Mus musculus: one gene and its partners. The main gene of each other region encodes a partner of the protein of the gene in region 3 in a complex. Links are inferred from orthologs where the notes say so. Each region holds a gene or a part of one and is shown on either strand. Other genes may lie near its edges.

What was found. The genes of interacting proteins can lie anywhere in the genome.
Region 1: Srrm2 (region 3) and Armc7 share a complex: the UniProt entries of both Homo sapiens proteins name them as parts of the minor spliceosome. The link is inferred for Mus musculus from reciprocal best matches to the Homo sapiens genes SRRM2 and ARMC7.
Region 2: Srrm2 (region 3) and Cript share a complex: the UniProt entries of both Homo sapiens proteins name them as parts of the minor spliceosome. The link is inferred for Mus musculus from reciprocal best matches to the Homo sapiens genes SRRM2 and CRIPT.
Region 4: Srrm2 (region 3) and Snw1 share a complex: the UniProt entries of both Homo sapiens proteins name them as parts of the minor spliceosome. The link is inferred for Mus musculus from reciprocal best matches to the Homo sapiens genes SRRM2 and SNW1.

The regions. Positions count from the first base shown.
Region 1 is NC_000077.6:115,488,317-115,490,966, forward strand, and holds the end of Armc7 (armadillo repeat-containing protein 7), read left to right. Parts: intron 1-396; coding exon 397-758; 3' UTR 759-2,150; downstream 2,151-2,650. Other genes in the region: Nt5c (5'(3')-deoxyribonucleotidase, cytosolic type), read right to left, coding at 2,283-2,428, 2,537-2,650. UniProt on the Homo sapiens protein: As a component of the minor spliceosome, involved in the splicing of U12-type introns in pre-mRNAs.
Region 2 is NC_000083.6:87,032,061-87,035,560, reverse strand, and holds part of Cript (cysteine-rich PDZ-binding protein), read right to left. Parts: intron 1,306-3,500; coding exon 1,202-1,305; intron 584-1,201; coding exon 519-583; 3' UTR 1-518. UniProt on the Homo sapiens protein: As a component of the minor spliceosome, involved in the splicing of U12-type introns in pre-mRNAs. Involved in the cytoskeletal anchoring of DLG4 in excitatory synapses.
Region 3 is NC_000083.6:23,802,068-23,806,024, reverse strand, and holds the start of Srrm2 (serine/arginine repetitive matrix protein 2), read right to left. Parts: upstream 2,801-3,957; 5' UTR 2,627-2,800; intron 2,371-2,626; exon of another isoform or gene 2,028-2,370; intron 1-2,027. UniProt on the Homo sapiens protein: Required for pre-mRNA splicing as component of the spliceosome. As a component of the minor spliceosome, involved in the splicing of U12-type introns in pre-mRNAs.
Region 4 is NC_000078.6:87,449,410-87,452,354, forward strand, and holds the end of Snw1 (SNW domain-containing protein 1), read right to left. Parts: intron 1,561-2,945; coding exon 1,397-1,560; intron 1,308-1,396; coding exon 1,109-1,307; 3' UTR 501-1,108; downstream 1-500. Other genes in the region: Slirp (SRA stem-loop-interacting RNA-binding protein, mitochondrial), read left to right, coding at 395-469. UniProt on the Homo sapiens protein: Involved in pre-mRNA splicing as component of the spliceosome. As a component of the minor spliceosome, involved in the splicing of U12-type introns in pre-mRNAs.

The DNA.
Region 1 (2,650 bases), on a different chromosome or scaffold from region 3:
CTCTGCCAGGGCCATACACTGTCTTAGCTGTTGAGCCACTTATCTAGCCTGGAGACATTATTTTTAAGCTCTACATGGTATTTTTTATCCAATGAGCTTGCTGTAATTTACTTAGACTTAGCATGTCGTGAGGTTTCTGGTTTCTTTTTCTTTCTCACTATCCTTTTGGGGGAGGGCTGATGCTGGGGACAGAAGTCAGGGTGACTCCCAGGGTGGACTCCTGAAGCCTTGGCAGAGGACTGGGTCTTGGTGACCTTGCAGTCCCTGTCCACAGGCAGACTTCTCCCCAGGCCCAAGTGCTTCCTCAGGACTCACTAGCCAGAGAGAGGCTGGGAGGCGAGACAGAGGAAAACCAGAACCCAGGCACCCGGCTCATCCACCTTTGCCTCTCTCCAGGGGGGCTCTGCAACCTGTGCGCGGACAAGGCCAACAAGGAGCACGTCCTGCAGGCGGGGGGCCTCCCGCTCATCATCGGCTGCCTGTCCAGTCCTGACGAGGAGACGGTGCTGTCTGCTGTCACCACTCTCATGTACCTGAGCTCGCCAGGCTCCCGCTCCCATCCCGAGCTGACCTCCCTGCCCGTGGTCCAGTGCATGCTGCGCTTCTCCATCTCTGCCAGCACACGGCTCCGGAACCTGGCCCAGATATTCCTAGAGGACTTCTGCTCGCCGAGCCAGGTGGCTGAGGCCCACAGCCAGCAGGCCCATTCTGCCCTGGGGATCCCACTGCCAAAGACTGAGGCCCCACAGCAGCCCTGACCCAAGGACACTTAAAGATCCTGCCACAGGTATAGGAAGCAGAAGGCTAATAGCATCCTGAGCCCATCCTGCGCAAAGTGGTGCTTGTTCAGCTGCATGCAAGCTGCAGTCTTGGCATGACAGGCGTTTGCATCCAGGGAAAACAGGAGGAGGGACGAAGCCAGACTTGAGATGCTTAGAGGAGAACCAAAGCTGGTATGGCTTTCATGGACTGGCAATCAATAAACTACAGACAGACCACCACCTCTGCTGCCCCCAGTGCCCAGCTAATGCCCTCGTGTAAGAAGCTGTGCCCCTGGGAGAGTGGCCAGTACCATGAGTGTCCAGAGTAATTTTGATGGCTAGAGATCAATCAGCCTTATTGTCTGGGGAAATGCCGTGGGTTGACTCCTCCCGTGTTGAGGCTGAGTATCTGGGCATGGTAGCATTGACTTGGAGAGCTCTGCAGAACAGAAACAACTATCCACACAGCCCTGCTCTCTGCGAGGCGCCCTAAGAGGAATGCAGAGGTGAAGTGTCTTCCCTTGGGTGTCACAGCTTAATGAGTGTTAACTAAATGGCCATTGGGCATGAAGAACAAGGCCCTACAGGTGTGAGAGCAGAATGAAGGAGAACTGAGGGCACCCGGGCATGCCTTGTCTCTCTGGAGAGGCCCTACATAGGATCCTTGGGTTAGACAGCAAGACAGTGACTTCTGTTTTACCAGGCTGTGGACCACTCATGTGCCAGCTGCCAAGTGTGGCATCCCTGTCTTTTCAAAAGAGTTGCTCTGGCCCCCTTTGCCTATGGGTCAGATCTTCTGACACTTGGGTGGGAGCCCTGAACATGAACCTTTCATGGGCTATCCCAGTCTGCTTCCTGCCATTCTCTCAGGAGCCACAAGCCTCCAGTAGGTACTGTCAACCCCTCAGGACTCAGATGCAGACCTTCCATAAAGACACCTAGAAACTAATGTCAGGGGACCATGGCGGCCCAACCTCTAATCTAATCCCTTGAGAGACAGGAGCGGGATAGCGATGAGTCTGGTCCACCTAGTGAGTTCCTGACCACAAAGGTCCGATAGAGTCTAACGAGCTCCTGTAACTGGTTACCCCGCCCTCCTCTGCCACTGAGAAGAAAAAATGGAATTAGGGGATAAGCGAAGAGCAGTCCTGACAGGAAGTGGAGTTTAGGGAAAATGGGGGCCCTGATCACTCAGCATTGTCCCCCCTCAGATGGACAACGAAAGCTGAGGAAGGAGATCTACAAGGGCTGGAGAGGGGCTGTCGTACAGCCACTGGATGAAGGAAGGCTCCCGCTCCCATCCTGAGCTGAAAAGGAAAAGGAGCATCAAAGATCCAAAGCCTCGCGTTTGGTTTTTATTTTTATTAAAAACCTCCTGATTTTCTCCACTGTATTTGTGTGCTAGTCTCCTTCTTTCCCGTGTAGGCCTCCTGGGAGGAGCCGGAAAGCAGTCTGTTCAAGTGGCTCCCTGATTAAAGAAAGTCACCTGTCCAGGCAGGGTCCTGTCCACCTCAGGGTCCTTCACAGGCTGGCTCGCTTGCTCTCAATGATCCCCCTCCAGTTGTCACTCCAGGAAAGCAGCCGTCTCCTGGTGGGGGGCAGGGCCAGGTGCTGATTGTGGCAGCAGGTGAACAAGATGTGCTCCCAGCTTGGGGTCTCCTCTAGGCCTGGGCAGTAAAGACAGCGTGCGCTCTGTAATTGGGTCATTTTTACTCCTCCTTAATCCCAGCAGGCCAGATGCCTGGGGGTTGTCAAGGTTAACTGGCTGGCCCAACCTTGAATGTTGTCTTTGTCATCAATGAGCAGGTCTCCCATGACCACCGTCTTGTCCCTAGTCAAGATAATCCGCTCCACAAACTCTGGCCCCAGGTTCTGCTCCACCCAGCGGT
Region 2 (3,500 bases), about 63 Mb from region 3:
CTTTCGGCAGGACTGGTCACTAAGGAACCACTCTGCAATAATTTATAGCTCATGAAAATGCACTTAACTAAGGTGCTGCTCATTCTAAGAACTGTGACATTTGTGAATAAATGAGAAATCTGAGGTCTGGATGTCAAGTTCAGAGCAAAGGATCAGTAATTTCACATTTGCAGTAACTATAAATAAATGCATGGATCAGGTAAGAATCATATGGATAATGTTGAGTAGACAGTGCGTACAGAAGTCAGGAACACCTTATTCATTAATTTTGTCTCTTATCTAGTTCAGTACAATGCTCACAAGGAAAACAACCACTTAAGGCAGAAAACTGGGCGTATCATTGCTGTTCAGAACTTTGTGAGAGCAGACAAATCAATACTGATCAACTTCCCTGCTTCAGGCCGAATCATTCATCTTCACACAGGTTATTTTGTAAGATGGACGTCCATTCATGCTATGCCTTGAATAGTTGAAGCACAAAGTACAATCCTAGAGAGTCAGGATCTTCATCAATATATCTACACGGAAGTCTGCTTGTAGTTTTTGGTATCCAAAACCTTTTTGCCACACATCGCACAGATGCCTGAAACACAAGAAAACGTGTGTGAGCAAGCAGTGCAACTGCCTGGTTTATTTAGGTCAATCTAACGCCTAAAAGGTCACTCAGTGGGACAGGGAGGCGGCTCCCCGGATAAGTGCACTTGCTCTGTAATCATATAAACCAGAGTTTGGAGTCCAGCATCCACACTCTCACAAATGCCCATAATTTCAGATCCAAGTGGGGTGCAGACAGGAGGAACCTTGGTTTGCTGGCTTCTAGCCCAACTGAGAAAAAGGCATCTCAGGTTCAGGGAGACACCCTACCTCAAAAGGTATAGTAAGAAAGAAAGACATGGTGCCCTCTTGTGCCTTGTGAGCACACATGCCTAATGCCTAGGTGAGCTCCACATACATGTACATATACATGCACTCAGACAGACACACAGATAAAGGACAGTCAGAGTCTTTAAGAACGTCAAAACATCATAAGAAAGAAAAAGGAATATCCTTTTGACTATAAATTTATTTTAAATTCTATTTTATCTTAGTAAAAAGGAGCATTTGACTAACAATTTATGAAAGGTTATTCCTTTGTTATTTAAAGCAATAGCAAATGAGACAGATTTGATATAAGTAAAAAAATTAAGTTAAAAACGCATACCTTTTTTGTAGGCGCAGCCTTGACAGTAATGAGAACCTGGCTGGTGTACAGAACTTTTACAAATTCTGCAAGTGGAGAACTTATTTTTTCCATATGGATCAAACCTAGAGAATTAAAAAAAAAAAGATAGTCATACAATAGAAATGTGTGTGTGTGTGTGTGTGTGTGTGTGTATGCATGTGTCTTAGTCAGGATTTCTATTCCTGCACAAACATCATGACCAAGAAGCAAGTTGGGGAGGAAAGGGTTTATTCGGCTTACACTTCCATACTGCTGTTCATCACCAAGGAAGTCAGGACTGGAACTCAAGCAGGTCAGGAAGCAGGAGCTGATGCAGAGGCCATGGAGGGATGTTCTTTACTGGCTTGCTTCTCCTGGCTTGCTCAGCCTGCTCTCTTATAGAACCCAAGACTACCAGCCCAGGGATGGTCCCACCCACAAGGGGCCTTTCCCCCTTGATCACTAATTGAGAAAATGCCTTACAGCTGGATCTCATGGAGGCATTTCCTCAACTGAAGCTCCTTTCTCTGTGATAACTCCAGCTGTGTCAAGTTGACACAAAACTAGCCAGTACAGCATGCGTGCGTGTGTGTGGCAGGGGTTCTTTGTATGGCTCTGGCTGTCCTGGTACTCACTCTGTAGACCAAGCTGGCTTTAAACTCACTGAGATTCACCTGCCTCTGCCTCCCAAGTGCTGGGATTATATAAGGGTAAGCCAACTACTAAAAACAGGAGGAAGGACTCCATATGTTGTCCCTCCCCTCCTCCTCCTCCTCCTCCTCCTCCTCCTCCTCTTCCTCTTCCTCTTCCTCTCTCTCTCTCTCTCTCTCTCTCTCTCATGTGTGCAGGGGTAGCTATGGAAGCCAGAGGGTTCGGGTCCTTTAGACTTGGGGTTACAGGTGGTTTTGAGCTGCATACTGTAGGCGTTGAGAAGCAAACTCAGGCCATCTTCCCGGGCCCATTCCCCTCCCAGCTCAGGCCCCTCTTTTGGTGAACCCAGGCTGGATGACCTTGTCCTCCCAATGCTTTTGTCACCAGCACCGAAGCACTGGGGTTACAGGCACGAGCCATCACACCTGGCTTAGTGTTTGCTCCACTCTGAGGGTACAAAATATATATTCTGGTGATGAAACCATGTTTATGTGAGATGTTATATAAAACTCTTGTCAGTAGATCCAGACTGAAAAAGCTTAATCTCAATAGCCAACAATAGATGAATACATCTACAGTTGGTTGTAAAATGAAGCAGGTCCATCTCCTAATGACTCCTCACTTTAACAAGCATTTTCAAGTGACTAGACTAATCCCTTTGGATACAGGGTTTTCAACATGAACATGGTAACCTATAGGAAACACAGGGCAAATAGCTTTATAAGAAACAATTCTCCCAAAACTGACTGTTTGCCTTCCCCCCAAACAGCTATTTATATTTGCTCCATGAAACATCAGAGTCCTAGTATCGTGTTTGGGCTACAGCATGGGATATTCTTTTCTTTAAAAAAAATTTTTTTTTACCTTTATATATTTTAATTTTATGTGTACAGGTGTCTTGCCTGAATAAATGTCTGTGTGTTATGTGGGTTGTGCCTGTGGGAGACAAAAAGGGCACTGGATCTCCTGGGACCAAAGTTAGAGACAGTTGTGAGCCACCGTATGGGTGCTGGGAATTGAATCCAAGTCCTCTGGAAGAGCGCTGTGCCATCTCTCAGCCCCATTGTTTTCTATATTAAACAGACACCTGTTACTTGCTGGTTCATTTGATTTTTAAGACAGAATTTGGCTCCATAGCGCAGGCTGTCACGGCATTTACTATCTTCCCACTCAGCTCCCCACATGTACCATAACGGCTACGTAATAGGTACGTTTTGGAGGTTAGCTTTTCTAAACTGAATCACTTTACTCCCACAAGAGTAAGTAAAATTTTTGTTTCAACTTAGATGTTTAGAGTCCTTTTCTGAAACCACATTTTTATTGTTCTAAAACGACATTTTAACCTCGAAATGAGCTTTTTTCATTAATTGGCAGGAATTTTGTTCTTTTTCTAGAGATTCTATTGTTTTTTGAAATTATGTTTATGTGTGTGTTTGTGTCAGGGTTTCTGCTGCTAAGGCTAGAAGACAGTGCTGGATCCCCTGAAAGTGGAGTTAAAGGCAGTTTGTGAGCTTCTTGATGTCCAAACTGAACTCAGATCCTCCGGAAAAGCAGTGTATACTCTTAACCACTGAGCCATTTCTCCAGCCTCCCAGAGTTTCTTGCTCATTATAAATAACGGTACTGAAAATTTAATGTAATATAGTAG
Region 3 (3,957 bases):
TCCATACCTTTAATGTAAAAGTGTTGACTTTCAATCAATCAATCAATCCCTGTTCTGACACTTCATTGTTTTTCTAAGTCCTGCTTTACTCTCCAATTTAACAGTTTTCCTGTAAGGTTCTACCTTTTCATGGTGTTCCAAGCTCAGCATCACTAAACTCTCAAGCTCCAGTTTTTTGGACTGTATTACTCATTCCCTATTCCCTTCTAACTATGTATGTTTTACTTTTTTCCTCTAACACATTTTCTCCAAAATAGGGTCTCAAACATGGGAAAGAAAACTAGCATCAAAACACACACACAGGGGAAAGCAGAGGTTAGTAAAAGCAGATAGCAGAGATGGAGCTGGGTGAAATAGTACCATATCAATGCCCGGTTTAAAAAAAAAAACAACAACAACAACAAAAAACAAACTGAAGTGTGTTGCCTGGTTCTGGTGGCACTGCCTTTAGTCCCGGCACTTGGGAAGCAAGGCAGGTGGATCTCTTGAGTTCTAGGCCAATCTGGTCTATACAGCAAGTTCCAGAACAACCATGGCTACAAAAAAAAAAAATCCTAGTCTGGGGATGGGGACATGTCACCAAAGTGCGGGGGGGGGGGGGGGGGAATCAAGGAAGATGCTGAATGTAAAGCAAACACCCAGATGCACTTTTGCCCCATTTCATCCTCAAGCCTAACATAAGTCCTACTCAATCTCAACAGTTAACACAAGAGGAAACTAAAAGCAAGAAAGGTAAATCTAGGAGAGACAACAAGAGTAAGAGATAAGGCTAAATCTAAGAAATGCAAAACCTTTTTTACAGCCCCCCCCCTCTAATGTTTCTGTAGTACCTTCTAACAACCACTCTTGATAGTCTTGGAAAAAGAAAAACCAATCCTTCCTCACTCTAAATCTAGGGCTTATATTGCTTTCTCACCTAACAGTCCTTCTAACCACTCATATTTTCACCATTTCACACAAAAATCCTCCCACACCCTACCTGAAGAATGAAAGCTAAGCAAAAAGTATTAGAGTCACAGTTTTGGAGAATTTTCAGAGACGAGCTAAAGGGGGAGGGGGGACTTACATACCAGCAGCCAAAAACAATGCTTGAAACACTAAAAGGGAAACCACAACTACCAAAACCAGGAAGTATTTAAAACAGGAGCCCAAAGCATGCAAGCCTCTCCAAGAACAAATTGCCGGCAAGGGAGGAAAACTTATCAGAATGCCAAAATACAAAGAGGTAGAAAATTAGCAAACTAAGATATTCAAGAAACAGCGACCGAGAGAACAGCAATGATCAAGGAAAAGGACGCTGAGTAAAAAATACAGAGAACTCAGAGCTGAGACACTACTGACTGCATAGGCACCATGAAACATACAAGCTACAGTATACATCCAGGCCTAGGCCCCACTCCCACGGAAAAAGGCAATAGTTTCCTTTTGAATCCACAATTAAGAGACATCTTAAAAGAACTGTAAGATGGAAACAGCAAGGAAGAACGTCATCACCAAGTAATGGCTGACTGAAGCCAGGCTATTAAGTCAAGAATTTTTTCCCCATCGAAAAGCTCTAAAAGGCTTAGCTTTAATATTTGAGGAGACCTTTTTAAAAACAGGGTAGGAGCCGGGTGTGGAGGCAGAGGCAGACGGATTTCTGAGTTCGAGGCCAGCCTGGTCTACAGAGTGAGTTCCAGGACAGCCAGAGAAACCCTGTCTCCGGGGAAAAAAAAAACAAAAAACAAAAACCAGGGTAGGAGCCAGACATGGTGTCTCATGCCTTTGATCCCACAGAGGCAGGCAGATTTCTTGAGTTCAATGCTAGCCTGATCTACACGGTTAGTGCCAGACCAACCAAGACTATTTAGAGGCCCTAGCTCATAAAACCAAACCGTAAAAAAGAAATAAAATAACAGGGTTGAAAGGAGCACATTGGTCTTCCTTATACACGCAGGCTGAATACTTTCGCGGTTTTATTATCCTCACTTTTTAAGACTTGGGGATCCCCCACCCCCACGCACACACTCACAGCCTCTGATACTAACGAGGACGAACGGTTTAAATCCTGGCCTCCGAAAGTTCAAGGCCTCCTCCCGCCGCCCACTGGGCAGCCCAGCTTATTTTCGGCCTCGAGGAGGGGGGAGGGGGCCACGCGGCGCCCCGCGGTCTGGGCGGCTCTGGCCGTTTCTCAGGCCCCTAGCAGGGCCCGTGGACCCACGCCGGAGCCGATCGAGGAGAGGTACCAGCAGGTCCGAAGCTCGGGCGGGGGACAAGTACCTCCGCTGCCGCCCTCTCCCCGCCCCCTAAAAGACCGAAGAGGACGACCGCGGAACGACGGCCTCCTCAGCCCCAGGTAGAGCAAAGGAGAGAAGCAGAGCCTCGCGCAATGCTGTCTCACCGGGGGCGCGCGGACGAGACCAGGCGGCCGCGCGCGCCGCGGCCGTGTGGGGGAGGGGCGGAGGAGTTGAAGGCCGCGCGTCCCAGGAACCGCGGGAGGGGGAGGGGAGGAAGGGAAGGCGACCGCGCCGGCCGAGGCGACGAGCACGCGTGCGCGCGGCGGCCTGGGCCGTTCTCCCCGCGCTCTAGCCTCCGGCCCAGCCCGCCGCCCCTCCCCCACCCGGCTAGCGCGCTCCCTTTCTCTCACCCGCCGCCGCCGCCTCCGGCCGCCGACTGTCAAACAGGGAGGTCCCGCCGCAGCTGCTGCTTAAGTTTTCGTATCCCTCGGAGCCTGAAGCCGCCGCCTCGTCGGTCCGCCCGCCTCAGCCGCCGCCGCCGCCGCCTCCTCGCTTCCTCAGGGGCCGCAGCGGGCTTCGACTGCGCCACTCGCACCCCGCCTGGGCAGCGTTGCGCGTCAGCACGACCTAGTGCGTCAGCACGCAATCATGAGAGCCGCTGGGCCCTCTGGGAACCGTAGTGCGTCGTGCGCAGGCGTTGAAGCCACAAGGAGGACCTTAGGCGAAGGGACGTGCTACTGAAAAGTCGAAAAACCCCGAGTCCCGTCGGGCACTGCGGGGAAAGGCGTGGCTCCGTACCGAAGCTGCAAGGTCGGCTGAAAAAAAACTTCTGTAGGAGGGGGGAGGGGCGCGGGGGCCGCAACCCACAACACCCGGGAGTAGCTCAGACGCACGCCTTCCGCGCACAGAGTTCTGGGAGCTGTAGTTCGGTTTTAGAGAGAAAACGCGTAAGACTCCTCCGCTAGGCAGGGTCGCCATTTTATGTGACCGTGTTGGGTGGCAGTGGCTCAGCAGCTTTACCTAGTCACTGTGACCATGGTTTTCTTTAATGTGTACGAGGCCCCACAGCACCGAGTCTTCTTCGCAGGAAGAGGTGCTTCAGAGTCAAGCCACCTGACAGCTCTGGAGCCACTTGAACCCGGCTTCTGGCCCAGTATCCGGTGCTTTCCACAGTTTCCACCTCTGTAGTCCTATCTGAAGTGGGGCTTGCAGACCACTAAAAAATACTTTCTCTTACCTTTGGGCAAAGAGACTAAGTGATTACTTTTCGCCTATAGAGACTATGCCATGTAAGTGGAGGAATGTGAGAATGCAGTTCCATTTCCTGGCCCTATAGCACGGTTCCGGGAGTTTGTCCCAGTGCCTCTCACTCGGTAGCAAGGGCCCCACCACTGAGGCACTGAAAGATCCTGGCAGAATGTAAAAGGACACAGAAGCCCTGAAATTGGCAAGATAGACGTCAGTGTTAGCAGAACTAGCTTCACTGATTTAGAAAAATAGAGGTGCACAATGCTCTGGCCACTCCTTGAACCTGTGTGTCTGCCAATGTTCTGACCAGGTGTGTGCTCATTGCTGCACCTTCATTAGACTCTCCTTGTACCCCTCCATACCCATTTCTTGAGAATAGACATTGTTTAGATCTGGAAATCCCCTAATCTCCCCCTTCTCCTTTCCCCCCTGAGGGCCTATAAAAACTGGAAACTCTTTCCCCTCGAGGACGACTCCTCTACCCCTGCGTGGG
Region 4 (2,945 bases), on a different chromosome or scaffold from region 3:
TCCGATGTGTGCTCCACGTCCCTTTAAGAGTAGTTATGTCGTGCGTGCGAGTCTGAAAAGGGAAGTCCCTGAAGACCTCTCTTCAGCTCTGGTGCCAGGGACTGAGTGCAGAGTGCACGCGTATGCTAAGCCCAGGCTCTCCTGAGTTACATCCCCACGTGGAAAGCCCTCTGATGGCGTATCAGCACGTATGTAACACAGAACAGTGGAAATAGCAGTGTAGACAAAGGGGCTGAAACCTTATCAGTCCCACCATCTTAAGATGAGTACCGGGAACACAACAGCCACTTGAGTCACTGGGTATGAGTTTCTAAACTTGTAAGTAGCTATATTATCCTTTAATGTTTCTTTAAAAAAAAAATTACCTTTTCTGACAGTGCTTTCCCTCCCATAGATCCACGTTCAAGCTCAAAGAGCAAAGGCTTTGCACGGAGCTCAAACATCTGATGAAGAAAGATTTCTGAGATGATCAGTGTACCGTCCACTAAATAAACAGAATTGAGACTTTTTCTACACGTTTTTATTTGAAATGAGGTGCACTAAGCAAGACCTTAGTTCCCCATGGCGCGGTGGAGAAGCACACAGGGCAAATGCAGTTGACAGAGCTCCAGTGTGTGAACATTAGCCCACTCACCATTTGAGGTGAGGTTATTCATAACGTTTACAGAAAAGGTTACAGCTGGATTAGTGTCACACACAAGGAAGGAATCTCAATTCTGTGTGGGGCAGTGGTATTTCTAAGTGCTGCAAGATTGGAGAAGCACAAACATAACCCCATTCCATATAAAAAAACTACTCCGAAATAGAATAATCAATGCCCCTACATCCCAGAATGAAAAGGAGTGCTGGGATCTATCATCGAGATTTTTTAATCTTTTTTTTTTTTTTAACAGTCCAGTCTTTATCTCCCTCCTGGTCATCTCTCTGATGATTCCTCATCCCATTCCTCCTCCCCCATTTCCAAGAGGATGTCCCCACCCCCACCCACTAGGACGCCCTATTCCCTGGAGTCTCAAGTGTCTGGAGGGGGTGGGGACATCTGTTCACAATGAGGCCAGACCAGGCAGTCCTCTGCTGCATATGTCAGATTTAGTTTTAAGAGGTCCCTCTACTCTTTCCTCCGCTTCTTGCCTTCATGCTCATGTTCCTTGGGGCGACTGCTATCAGAGGGTCTTTTAGAACCACCGTGCTGTTTGGCTTCTTCCAAAAACTTGTCCAAACCAAAAGGATCCTCCTCAAACTGCACTGGTCCTTCTCGGCCTCTCTGTTTGCGGTCTGATCCAGAAAACTCCTTATCAGGAACAAATCTAGGGGAAAAGAGCAGAGGTCATGAGCACTCTTCCTTGGCTGCTGTAAACGGGACGGAACACCAACCGTCTGTCTGTCTACACGGTACCTGTTGGTCTTTATCCTGGCTTCCAGGTCATCACCATACATGTCCTTGTCCAGATTTTTACTGGGCCTGTAGATGCTCTGGGCCATATCTTTCCCACCTCTCCAGGCTTGATCATAAACATTGTAAATTTCATCTTCTCCACCTGCAAATCCACTGTCCATACCCTGTGGAAAAATGAAGGACACTAAAAATAAAGGTATACTTATCCAAAGCTGGATCTGAATACTTAGGAATTAACATTTCCATGTTTACAGCTAATTTAAAAACCTCAACTGCAACATTTATATAAAATAATAAACAAGTATCAAGTTATTCATATACATTTGAGTCCCAGCGGTAATGAGGCAGGCAGGTAGGTCTGAGTTTCAGTCAGCCTGGTCCAAATGTCATATTCTAAGACAGCCAGAGATATATAAGAGGCCCTGCCTCAAACAACAAAGTTCTGACTAGCCAAAAAATAAAGGACATATGGCTGGGTGTGGTGGTGCACAACCTTAATCGAGACACCCAGGAGCAGAGAGTCAAGCAGATCTGGTTTACAAAGGCCAGCCTGGCTCACATAGTAAATTCCAATACAGCCAGGGATACATAAGGAATACATCTTCAAAAATCCAGAACTAAAACAAAAAGAAAACACAAAGTTGGGTGTGTAGAGAAAGTAGGGTGGATCTGGGAGGAGGTGGAGGAAAGTGAATATGGTCAAACTCAATTGTATGAAATTCTTCAAAGACCAAATTCCAAAAAAATCAATTAACAGTGACATTAAAATTGAAGGATTATATTGTAGGTACTGGACAATGATGCTAACAAACATCACCTCAACTGCCTGAGAATGTCACTATCCGTTAAATCACAATGAAAATTGTCAAGTTTCCCAGGGTTTTAAAAGGTTTAAGCTTAAGGTCTGAAGAGATGACCACTTTGAAGTATTTACTTATGTGGAACTTTCATTCTGACTCCTGCCCAGCCTAGCTTACATTGCACAGCAGTTAAGAATAAAGCTTTGAATCAAAGAATTCAAGTTGAATCTCAGTTCCATCAATTATCCAACCCTATCTCAATATCTAAGAGAGATAATAGGGTGCTGCAGAGATGGCTCAGTGTTACAGCACTTTCTGCATAAGCCTGAGGGCACAAGTGTGGATTCCTTGAACCCGTGTAAATGACAGGTGGCTGTGGAAGCTTGCCTGTAACTCCATCCTCTGAAGATGTAGACAGGAAACCTCAGAGCAGACTGGGCAGGAAGACTAACTCTCTCAGTGAGTTCTGGAATGGACTGAGAGATCTGCCTCAGTGAATAAGTTGGAAGGGAGAGTGATAAAGACAATTCCTAACATCAACTTCCAACATTAACATATGCATGTACACACAAGTGCCTACACAGGCAAACATGCATACAAATGAAAATGGAAAAAAGAAACCTCTTCCCCAAACCCAACAGTCTAGCTTCATATGTTGTGCGTCCACCTCCATTGTTTCAAAGGATTGAAATGAATAGACTTGGAACAATGCCAGGAATATAAAACATCAAAAAAAAGCATTGTTGCTT